2 linked regions of the Mus musculus genome follow. Each later gene encodes a partner of the first gene's protein in a complex. Links are inferred from orthologs where the notes say so. Each region holds a gene or a part of one and is shown on either strand. Other genes may lie near its edges.

Region 1 (4,820 bases):
TATGGTTTCCTGCCTAACTGGGTTGTCTTAGGCTTCAGTTGGACTTACTGGGGTGTGCCCACCCTTTAGAGAAGGCTAGGGTTTTGGGGTAGGCTTGCAGTTATTGGCTGCTGCCAGGACTGCCCTATGGTTCTCCTCTGTCAGTATTGCCCCCAAAGCATTCAGAGGAAAACCAACCACCGAACATCATAACCCAAGAGGAGCACGAGACTCCTGTCCACGTGACTCCACAGACACCACCGGGGCAGGAGCCAGAGTCGGAGCTGTACCCGGAGCTGCACCCAGAGTTGTACCCGGAGCTCATACCTACAGTCGCTCAAAATCCAGAGAAAAAAATGAAAACTCGCCTCTTAATACTGTTGACCCTTGGCTTTGTGGTTCTTGTGGCCAGCATCATTATCTCGTGAGCTGTTCACCAGGAAATTTAAAGGGAGGGTGGGCCTTAGATAAAGTGGACTTGGGTGAAGGGAAGAGACGCAGGTGCAGTGGAGGAAAAGCAGGAATGAGACAAGCTTTGAAAGGAGCATGTCTTTTTTTTTTCCATTTTTTTATTAGGTATTTAGCTCATTTACATTTCCAATGCTATACCAAAAGTCCCCCATACCCACCCACCCCCACTCCCCTACCCACCCCCTCCCCCTTTTTGGCCCTGGCATTCCCCTGTACTGGGGCATATAAAGTTTGTGTGTCCAATGGGCCGGAGCATGTCTTGATAGAGGACTTGGGGGTCTGGGTAAGAGGGGGGCTTGAAGACAGAGGCAGGCTTGATGGAAGGAAGGGAGCTGGCGGAGAGGAGGGGCTTGGTGGAGGGGAGTGGCTTGATGGAGGAGTGTAGTCTTGGCTATGGAGAGATTTTATAGAAGGGTGCAGACAAGGGCTTGGATGGACGGATGGATGGATGGAAAGGAAACGGCCTTGTGGAGGGAAGTGATTTGGAGTGGGTCGGGCCTGGGTGGAGGGAGGGCATCCTACAATCCAGTGCTGGCAACAGGACAGGAAGCTACTGGGCACTTTCCTTTGGGGCTCACTTAGGAGGACAAGGCTTATATAAACTGTTAAGTTAGGCTTGGGGGGGGGCGGTTCAGGAAAGTGTGTACTTCACTCAACCTGTGACCTAATGTGGTTCTGTGCACCTATGTCCTGCCCCAGGGTACTTCACTTTAGGAAAGTCAGCGCTAAATTGAAGAATGCAAGTGACGAAGTCAAACCCACCGCGTCAGGATCCAAGTCAGATCAGAGTTTGTCCCAACAGATGGGATTGAAGAAGGCCTCTCAGGCAGATTTTAACTCTGACTACTCTGGAGATAAGAGCGAGGCAACAGAAAACTAATAAAGATTTGTATTTGACTTACTTTTGGGGACTGGTTCTGACTTCTGGCTCCAAGAGAGGAGATCTGGATGTGCCCTCCCCCGCCATCTGAGGGAGTTGTAGCTGGAACATGGGACCTCCCTTTCTAGGTGGCCCATGAGTGAGTGGTGGGCCCAGAATCAAGGCGCAGGCCAGGGCCAGCCCTGCCTCATCTCCTCCCCCAGGCCTGGTCTCCTCACAGGACGCCCCCTCCCCGCTCTTCCTGCCGGGTTTCCTCTTGCCTTTTCCTGTCCCCCACCCAGTGCTGGGAGCTTGGGCAGAGGAAAACACTTTACAGAGGGACTGGGACTTAACGGAGGCCAACAGCACCAGGGCCTCCGGGTGCTACGGGACCCGAAGCAGGGTAAGAGCCACAACAGTGACTCCACCCATCCTGGGACCTAGGAGCTCATTTCTTTGCCCCTCTTACTCCCTGGGATTCAGGAACCAGAACTGATTCTCTCTTCCGTAGCTCCCCACTCTACCCCACCCCACCCGACTGTGGCCTTAGGACTTGGGGCCTTCCCCTCTTCCCTTAGGGCCATGCTATCTGGTGAACGAAAGGAGGGCGGAAGCCCCCGCTTCGGGAAGCTCCATCTTCCAGTGGGCCTGTGGATCAATTCCCCAAGGAAACAGCTCGCCAAACTGGGGCGGCGCTGGCCCAGCGCTGCCTCTGTCAAGTAAGTGGTCAACCTCTATGGTATGCCTGCCATTTGTCCCTGTTTATCACTGGGTCATGCCAGCGACCCTACAAAAGTGGGCAGTGGTTCCTGTCCTAAATAGACAAGCGAGCTGGGGGGTGACAGTGGAACACAGTGACGTCGAGGCACAGGGAGAGAAGAAGTGGGCACTGGGATGGAACGCAGTACACATCCCCTCTCTCTGTTCACCTATTTCTTACCAAGGGTCATATCTTTATTAATTTTATTACCTATCTCTCTTATCTCCATTCTTCCCACCGCACACCACCATCTTGGTTTTCTGCTCCCATCCCTTTGTCCCTTTTCTTTGGTTCTTTGTCTCTGACTCTTGAGTTTCTGTCCCTCCCCCTTTCTCGGTTTCTCTGTGTCTTTGGCCCCTCTTTCTGGGCACTATCTCTGGGTGTCTCTCTGTGTCTCTGTCTCTCTCTGTGTCTCTGTCTCTGATTCTCTCTTCTGTGTCCTCTCTGCCCACTTCTTTCTCCTCAGGTCCTCGTCCTCCGACACGGGGAGCCGAAGCAGCGAGCCCCTGCCGCCGCCGCCGCCGCCGCCGCACGTGGAGCTGCGGCGCGTAGGTGCGGTGAAGGCGGCGGGGGGAGCGTCGGGCAGCCGAGCCAAGCGCATCTCGCAGCTGTTTCGGGGCTCAGGGGCCGGCGGCGCCGGGGGTCCTGGCACGCCTGGGGGCGCGCAGCGCTGGGCCAGCGAGAAGAAGCTGCCTGAACTGGCGGCGGGTGTAGCTCCGGAGCCCCCGTTGCCCACGCGTGCCGCGGTGCCCCCGGGAGTGCTCAAGATCTTCGCTTCTGGGCTGGCGTCGGGCGCCAACTACAAGAGCGTGCTGGCTACGGAGCGATCCACCGCGCGCGAGCTGGTGGCGGAGGCGCTGGAGCGCTACGGGCTGACGGGCGGCCGCGGAGCGGGCGACAGCGGCTGCGTGGACGCCTACGCGCTTTGCGACGCTCTGGGCCGGCCCGCGGTCGGCGTGGGCGGAGGCGAGTGGCGTGCCGAGCACCTGCGGGTGTTGGCCGACGCGGAGCGCCCTCTGCTGGTGCAGGACCTGTGGCGCGCCCGTCCGGGCTGGGCGCGGCGCTTTGAGCTGCGCGGCCGCGAGGAGGCTCGACGGCTGGAGCAGGAGGCCTTCGGGGCTGCGGATGCAGACGGTCAGCCAGGGAAGGGCACAGAGACTTGGGGCGGGACTTAGGGGGCAGTAAGATGACTGGACCCTGGGCGGGAGGTGATGGGGACGTGGCTTACAGGGAGAGGAGGCGGGGCCTGCATGATAAAAGGCAGGGACCTGGGTGAGAGGTGATGAGGGAGGGCTCTGGGAGGTTCTGGTGGCAGGGCACACAGAGTGGGAAGACTCTGGACTGGATGTGCTGGAGTGGGGTGTAATTGGAGGGGAGCGGAGCCAGCAGGACAAAACTGGTGGTGCCATTCTGGGGCGGAACTTACAGGCCGGGTCTGATAAGGGCAGTAGGTAGCATGGTTAAGGGGTGTTAACCTACATGATATATCTTTTATTACTTTACCTTTGTGGTATAGCTTATTTTATTTTAACCAAGACAGGGTTGGAGTTCTAGGTGAAGGTTCAGTGGAATAACGTATATAAATGGCATAGCACATACTTAATAGAGAATAGGGAGGGCTAGAGAGTTGGTTCAGCGGTAAAGAGCGCTGGCTTGCTCTTTCACAGGACCCTGGTTCAGTTCCCAGCACCCACATGGCAACTCACAACTGTCCTTAACTCCGCTACTAGGGGATCTGACATCTTCCCGTAGATATAGATGCAGGCTAAACACCAATAACCACTCAAAAGAATGACAATTACTGTCGTCTCTTCTCTCTCAAGGGAAAAAAAAAACGCCTTTCTGAGCACACATTTCGAGCCACACATTTTTTATCTCTGGTGTCCACGGACAGATGAAGTGGAATCTTTTTTCCTCTTTTAGTGGAAAAACATGTTTATTCGTTAAGCCTCTTTCAGTAGGGAACTTTCTGTGAGTCTATGGACTTCTAGAAAACATTGTTAGGAAGAAATTATTGTTTGCATCTCCCCAGCGGCAGTTCTCACTGTTATTGCCTGGGCCAGTCGCTGACACACAGTGATTGCTCCTAAATGCATGTTAAAAGAATGCATTTCTCAGCTGACAACGCCAAGTTGGAGTCAGGCAAAACCAATGTCCAGAGTTAACAGTCTGTGTTCCTCATCTCCCCACAGGCACAAACGCCCCATCTTGGCGGACCCAGAAGAATAGGTCTCGGGCAGCATCTGGCGGGGCAGCTCTGGCCAGTCCTGGTCCAGGATCAGGATCCGGGACCCCCACTGGGTCCGGGGGCAAGGAGCGATCTGAAAATTTGTCTCTGCGTCGAAGCGTGTCTGAGCTGAGTCTACAGGGGCGGAGGCGAAGGCAGCAGGAACGCAGGCAGCAGGCCCTTAGCATGGCCCCAGGGGCAGCTGATGCTCAGATGGTACCAACGGACCCTGGAGACTTCGATCAGTTGACTCAGTGCCTCATTCAGGCACCCAGCAACCGTCCCTACTTCCTTCTGCTCCAGGGCTACCAGGATGCTCAGGTTAGCACTATCTCCCCTACTCATAGAGCCACATCAGAAGAAACTACAACACCCAGAATGCCCTGGGATGAGGCCCTCTCCAGTATAATGGCCGTTCCCACAGGGTTCCCAAGTAGGAAGCAGCACGGTGGGAGCTGAGGTGGAGTGCAGATGCAAAGATCCCATTTGGGGGCAGGGGGAGGGGGGCGGGTTACAGTGAATGT
Region 2 (4,825 bases), on another chromosome or scaffold:
GGTTTTTTCTTTTTTTGTTGTTCTAAAGGTTGAACCTACTACACTCGGACACTTGCTAGACAAGTACTGGATCATTAAGCTATGCCCCCCCCCTTTTTTTAACTTCTTGAGAATCTCACAAAACCGTTTAGGTTGGCTTTAACTTACTCTGTGGCCTCAGCAACCTAGAATTTGCAAGGAGCCACCTCCTGCTCAGTCTGCAGAAGAAAGAGGTGTGCTCTTACAGACTGGCATCCTGAGACCCAGCTATAATTCTTTCTTACTCGCTCACTTAACTCAGGTTAGCGTAGTGGTCACGTCTCCATTTCTCTTCTAGGGTTCGTTAAATTTCCAGAATAATTTGTACAGGGAGGGCCAGCTAAATTGCCTACTCCTTTCAGTACTTTCCTCTCAAGTTTTGTTCATCAAAACCTTTTCCCTCGCTGGCAGTGGTGGCGCATGCCTTTAATCCCCAGCACTCCATACGTAGAGGCAGGTGTATCTGAGATGAAAGCCAAGCTGGTCAACATAGCAAGGTCAGGCCAGCCAGGACCACGCAATGAAGAGAGCGTAATCAGAGCAGAAACAAAGTCTTCCAAACAAAGCTCTGATAGCATGATTCTCATATTAAAGGTGATGGTGAGAAAATATTCTAATTACCTAGATCGATGTAAGTTCTTGTGCTCTTTGGAACAAGTCATTTTTGGACAGAGCTTTTCGGAGTCACATCATAGACTGACATCTATGAGTAATCTATAAAGTCATGAAGGCGCCCCAGGCATGCTCTTCCATGAACCAATTATTTTAATTCTATAAACTGTTCACTTAGGCACAGGCCATAAGCATGCTTTGGAATCCTCCATTCGCGAACTGCGTCTGGCAGGGTAATTTGGACAGCTGGCCCTGCTTAACACACCACAGGCTGAAATACTTGTCAAACCTAAAGAAAGGCCATTTGAAAAATGAAAAGCTGCCCTCGCGCTCTGGGAGTGGGAACTGCTGCTCTGTTACTTCCCCAGCACAAAGGACCACGCGAACACCGACGGTCTGGGGGCGTTGGCGACTGTGCACTCGGAGGCCCCGCGAAGGCGTCAGAGGTTTCCAAGCCCCTGAGCTCCCCGTTACCCGCTGGGGTCGAAACGGATGCGCTCCGCTGAGGCTGACACCGATTATGTCGGACAGCCCAGCCAGCGGGGGGCGAGGCCGACCGCAGCAACGAGACGCAGGGCAGGGGAGAAGGGCCACGGCCGGAGCCGGCGACCGAGAGCCGGGGCGAGGCCCACTGCGAGGCGAGCACGACGAGACCCCGCCCCCCTCCGCCAGGGCCCGCCTCGGCCCCGCCCCTTCCCGGGCTGCGCTCCTGCGCGCCCCGCCCGCGGGCGGAAGCGAGAGCGAGGCTGAACGCCTGACGTCAAGGCGACACCGCCAAACCTCGCCCAGAGTCAGGCGTGGAAAGCAGCCCGAGCGGCGGCGGCGGCGGCGACGGCGACGGCGGCAGCGGCAGAGACCGCCGTGGCGCCGGGAGCAGCGACCCGAAGGGAACGCGCGGCGACGGCGAGGGCGACGGCGGCGACCCGGTGACAGCGCGAGAGGTGGGCGCGGGGTGCGTGCGTGGCCGCGAGGCTGGCGGGGGGCCGGGCGCCGGCTGAGGGGAGAGGTGGGGTGCGGCGCGGACCGGGCGGGGCAGCCCGATGGCCCCCGCGGCGGCGAGGGTGGCCCGGGCGCGCGGCAGGTGGCTGGCGGGGGGCCCCCCGAGTCCCTCGCTCGCTTCGGCGGGGCGCGCCGCCTCGGGGCGGCCGGGGAGGAACCGCGGCCGCGGCGGGGGAGCAGCGCGCTTTGCGGAAGGGGTCAAATGTCTGAAATATGGCGGAGGAAGTGAGCGCCCGAGGAGCCCCCACCCGCCTGCCCGAGGCCCCCGCAGCCTTCCCCGCCGCGCCCCGCTCCCCGCCTCGGCGGTGGGTGGAAGTTAGAGCGGAAACCAGAAAGTTGTCCTCTGCGGACACCCGGGCTTCTCCCAGCCCGGGGCCGGGCGGGCGGAGCAGCGTCGCGAGGGGGGGCGGGGGGACCACTCCCCGGCGCCCCGCGGGCTCGAGCCTGACAGGGAAAAAGTTTGCCCGGATCGGGGCTGGCTTGCTTCATTTGTTGCGGGAAGTGGCAGGAGGAAGGCAGCGGAGCGAGCCCCACCTAGTCTGGCAGCCGCCACCGTGCAGAGGGAAAAAAAAAATGTTAAAGGGGCCTTTCCTTCGTCAGCAAGAGGAAATCTCTTTTTCTCTTGCAGAGAGAAAAATCCAGGAAGTTTGTCCTCTTCTCCTTTTTTTTTTTTTTTTCTTTTCGCCATCTCGAGGTGTCTGATTCTGAAACTGACTTATCAGCGCCGTGAATTTGGGAACTAGGCCCTCGGGATTTTCCTTGGGGTGGAGGGGGGCGGGAGGAGAAGATGCCTTTGGAAGAAACATCTTCGCTTAAGAGTTTTGAGCAGATGGGATTGCTTTCCTTTCGCTTGCCCCCTCCCACCCCCCAATGCTTTAGAAAGATATTTTGGCCCTGCGACTCTCGACTCGTGTGCATACAAGCACTTCTTTATTACAGTAATAGGAACTCACATTTTTTTTTTTTACTAAGTTGAAAGTTGACATTACGATGCAGGCTGGACTTTTCAATATTTTAAAAATCAATTGAGTCTCGTTGAAATGTTTGCTTTGCTGGCAGTGTGTATTAATATATACCGAGTGCCTCTAGCTTGTAAATTCATTTTTTTTTCAGTTTTCTTTTGTATAATTAGAACGTTGTCGAGACTTGCCTGAAAGGAGTTTATCTTAGCAAGAAGTAACTTAATTGAATGGAGAAATTCTTTTAATTTAAAGCCCTTACCACTCTTAAAGCCTGATATGAAGTCAGTGTATTAAGTCATAATAGAGTCATGGGGCTTTTTAGGGCCGGAAAGAGACTCTTTAAATCATCTGGTCCCACCCTGTCGTTTCATGAGGAGGAAACTAAGGCCTAAAATAGATAACCAATTACCTGAGTCTGCTGATTTGTAAAGCCGTGGTCTATCCATAAAGGACAATCCACAGGAAGCAATGTGACTTTTTTTTTTTTTTAATTGTGAATTACATCTTGGTAGAGATTATTGGTCCCATTATGCTCTCTTCTCCAAGAGTGCCATAGTTAGCTAAATGGTATGGAATACGTCAACCCCTTAGGTAGTTTCATCCCCTGGTTTTGGTTAGAGGAAGTTAATACTCCGAGGAGGAAATAATTTTAACTTAGAGACACAGAATCCCAAATGACAGTCTTGTTTGATATCCATACTTTTAATCTCTGTAGTACATTATATTCCCTTGTACTTTCTTGTTTGACACAGAAGTTCAGTGACCTTATCTGTGGAAGCTGCAAAGTAAAATCAAAAGGACATATAGTTGCTTGTGCTATAATGTATCGAACCTCAGATTAACATCTGAAGGGCCCCATGCTAAGCCGGCTTAATTTTTAGTCTGTGGTCTGGGACACAGAAATGATGAACGTGTCTTTCTTCTTTTTCTGTCTGTCTTACCACTGTTCTTTCCGTGGCTTGTATCACTTCCTGTCTTCTGTTACTGTTGTGTGTGTTTCTCTGTTCTACCAAGTTGTAAGGTCCAAGGAAGGGGTAGATTTCTTCTGCATGCCTCAAATGACTAGCATGTCGCTGTTACATAGACACTCAGATGAAAGTTCAGTAGAGTTCATTGAACACACCATGAGAATAGGAATTCTGCTTTACTCTTAGTCCCTAGCATTTTACCTGGGCACATAGTGATGTTTGGGACTTAATTCAGAGACTAAAGAGAACAGTGTAATCATTTTAAAAAGAATTAAACATTTTCTTTGGGAATCTCTCACTTTCCACGTTGATCATTTTATCATTGGTCATTTATAATGATTCCAGTATTTTCTTTTGACCTATACAGGGAAAGTGAGCCCTCCCACTAAAGAGCCTATAAGAGTAACAAGTTGAAATAAAGAATCCTTTTTAAAAGATTTATTTATATGAGTACACTGTAGCTGTCTTCAGACACACCAGAAGAAGGCATCAAATCCCATTACAGATGGTTGTGAGCCACCATGTGGTTGCTAGGAGTTGAACTCAGAACCTCTGGAAGAGCAGTCAGTGCTCTTAACTGCTGAACCATCTCTCCAGCCCTTTTTGTTTGGTTTGTTTTGTTTGTTGTTTGTTTGTTTGTTTTGAGACAGGGTTTCTCTGTGTAGCCCTGGATGTCCTGGAACTTACTCTGTAGACCAGGCTGGCCTCGAATTCAGAAATCCACCTGCCTCTGCCTCCCAAGTGCTGGGATTAAAGGCGTGCACCACCACCACTGCCCCCTTTTTTTAAAGTGGTGCGAGGCATGGTATTTTGCAGCTGTGATCCCAGCAGTTAAGATTGAAGCAGGAGAATTGCCATAAATTTAAGGCTAGCCTGGGCTAGTGAAACCTGGTCTATAAATAAATATATGAATAACTTGATCTATGTACGTAAAGGTCTTTGAAGAACTTAGTGCTTATGCAGAGATTGATAACATATAACTGTATGTGCTGTTTTACATGTAAAGTCTTAAGATTGGCATGGGAAGCTTATGTTCAGCTCTTAGGTATGTAATAGTTATGGAAAAATTAACGCGTGACAACAGACAGAACTTAGCTGATCTTACGTCCACCTCCCAAGTATAGTTTACATTTGGCATTTTATAATTGAATGTCAAGGAGATCTCATTGATTTACATGTGTCATTCCCAGAAAATAAAGTGTTCAAGGTTAGTTTAGGGTTTATACACTAAATAGTCAAAGACTATTTCTCTTTAAAATGTTAACA

Evidence for each region. The genes of interacting proteins can lie anywhere in the genome.
Region 2: the proteins of Rasip1 (region 1) and Rap1b are in contact, whole or in part, in a crystal structure (PDB 5KHO), measured with the Homo sapiens proteins. The link is inferred for Mus musculus from reciprocal best matches to the Homo sapiens genes RASIP1 and RAP1B. Residues at the interface, in NP_060275.2 of Homo sapiens: Val147, Lys149, Ala156, Ser157, Gly158, Ala159, Asn160, Tyr161, Lys162, Ser163, Val164, Leu165, Glu181, Arg182; in NP_001010942.1 of Homo sapiens: Val24, Gln25, Asp33, Pro34, Thr35, Ile36, Glu37, Asp38, Ser39, Tyr40, Arg41, Glu54, Leu56, Phe64.

Annotation. Positions count from the first base shown.
Region 1 is NC_000073.6:45,625,879-45,630,698, forward strand, and holds the start of Rasip1 (ras-interacting protein 1), read left to right. Parts: upstream 1-1,658; 5' UTR 1,659-1,712; intron 1,713-1,887; 5' UTR 1,888-1,891; coding exon 1,892-2,028; intron 2,029-2,535; coding exon 2,536-3,203; intron 3,204-4,261; coding exon 4,262-4,617; intron 4,618-4,820. Other genes in the region: Izumo1 (izumo sperm-egg fusion protein 1 precursor), read left to right, coding at 145-403, 1,150-1,330. UniProt on the Homo sapiens protein: Required for the proper formation of vascular structures that develop via both vasculogenesis and angiogenesis.
Region 2 is NC_000076.6:117,842,577-117,847,401, reverse strand, and holds the start of Rap1b (ras-related protein Rap-1b), read left to right. Parts: upstream 1-1,427; 5' UTR 1,428-1,571; intron 1,572-4,825. UniProt on the Homo sapiens protein: GTP-binding protein that possesses intrinsic GTPase activity. Contributes to the polarizing activity of KRIT1 and CDH5 in the establishment and maintenance of correct endothelial cell polarity and vascular lumen.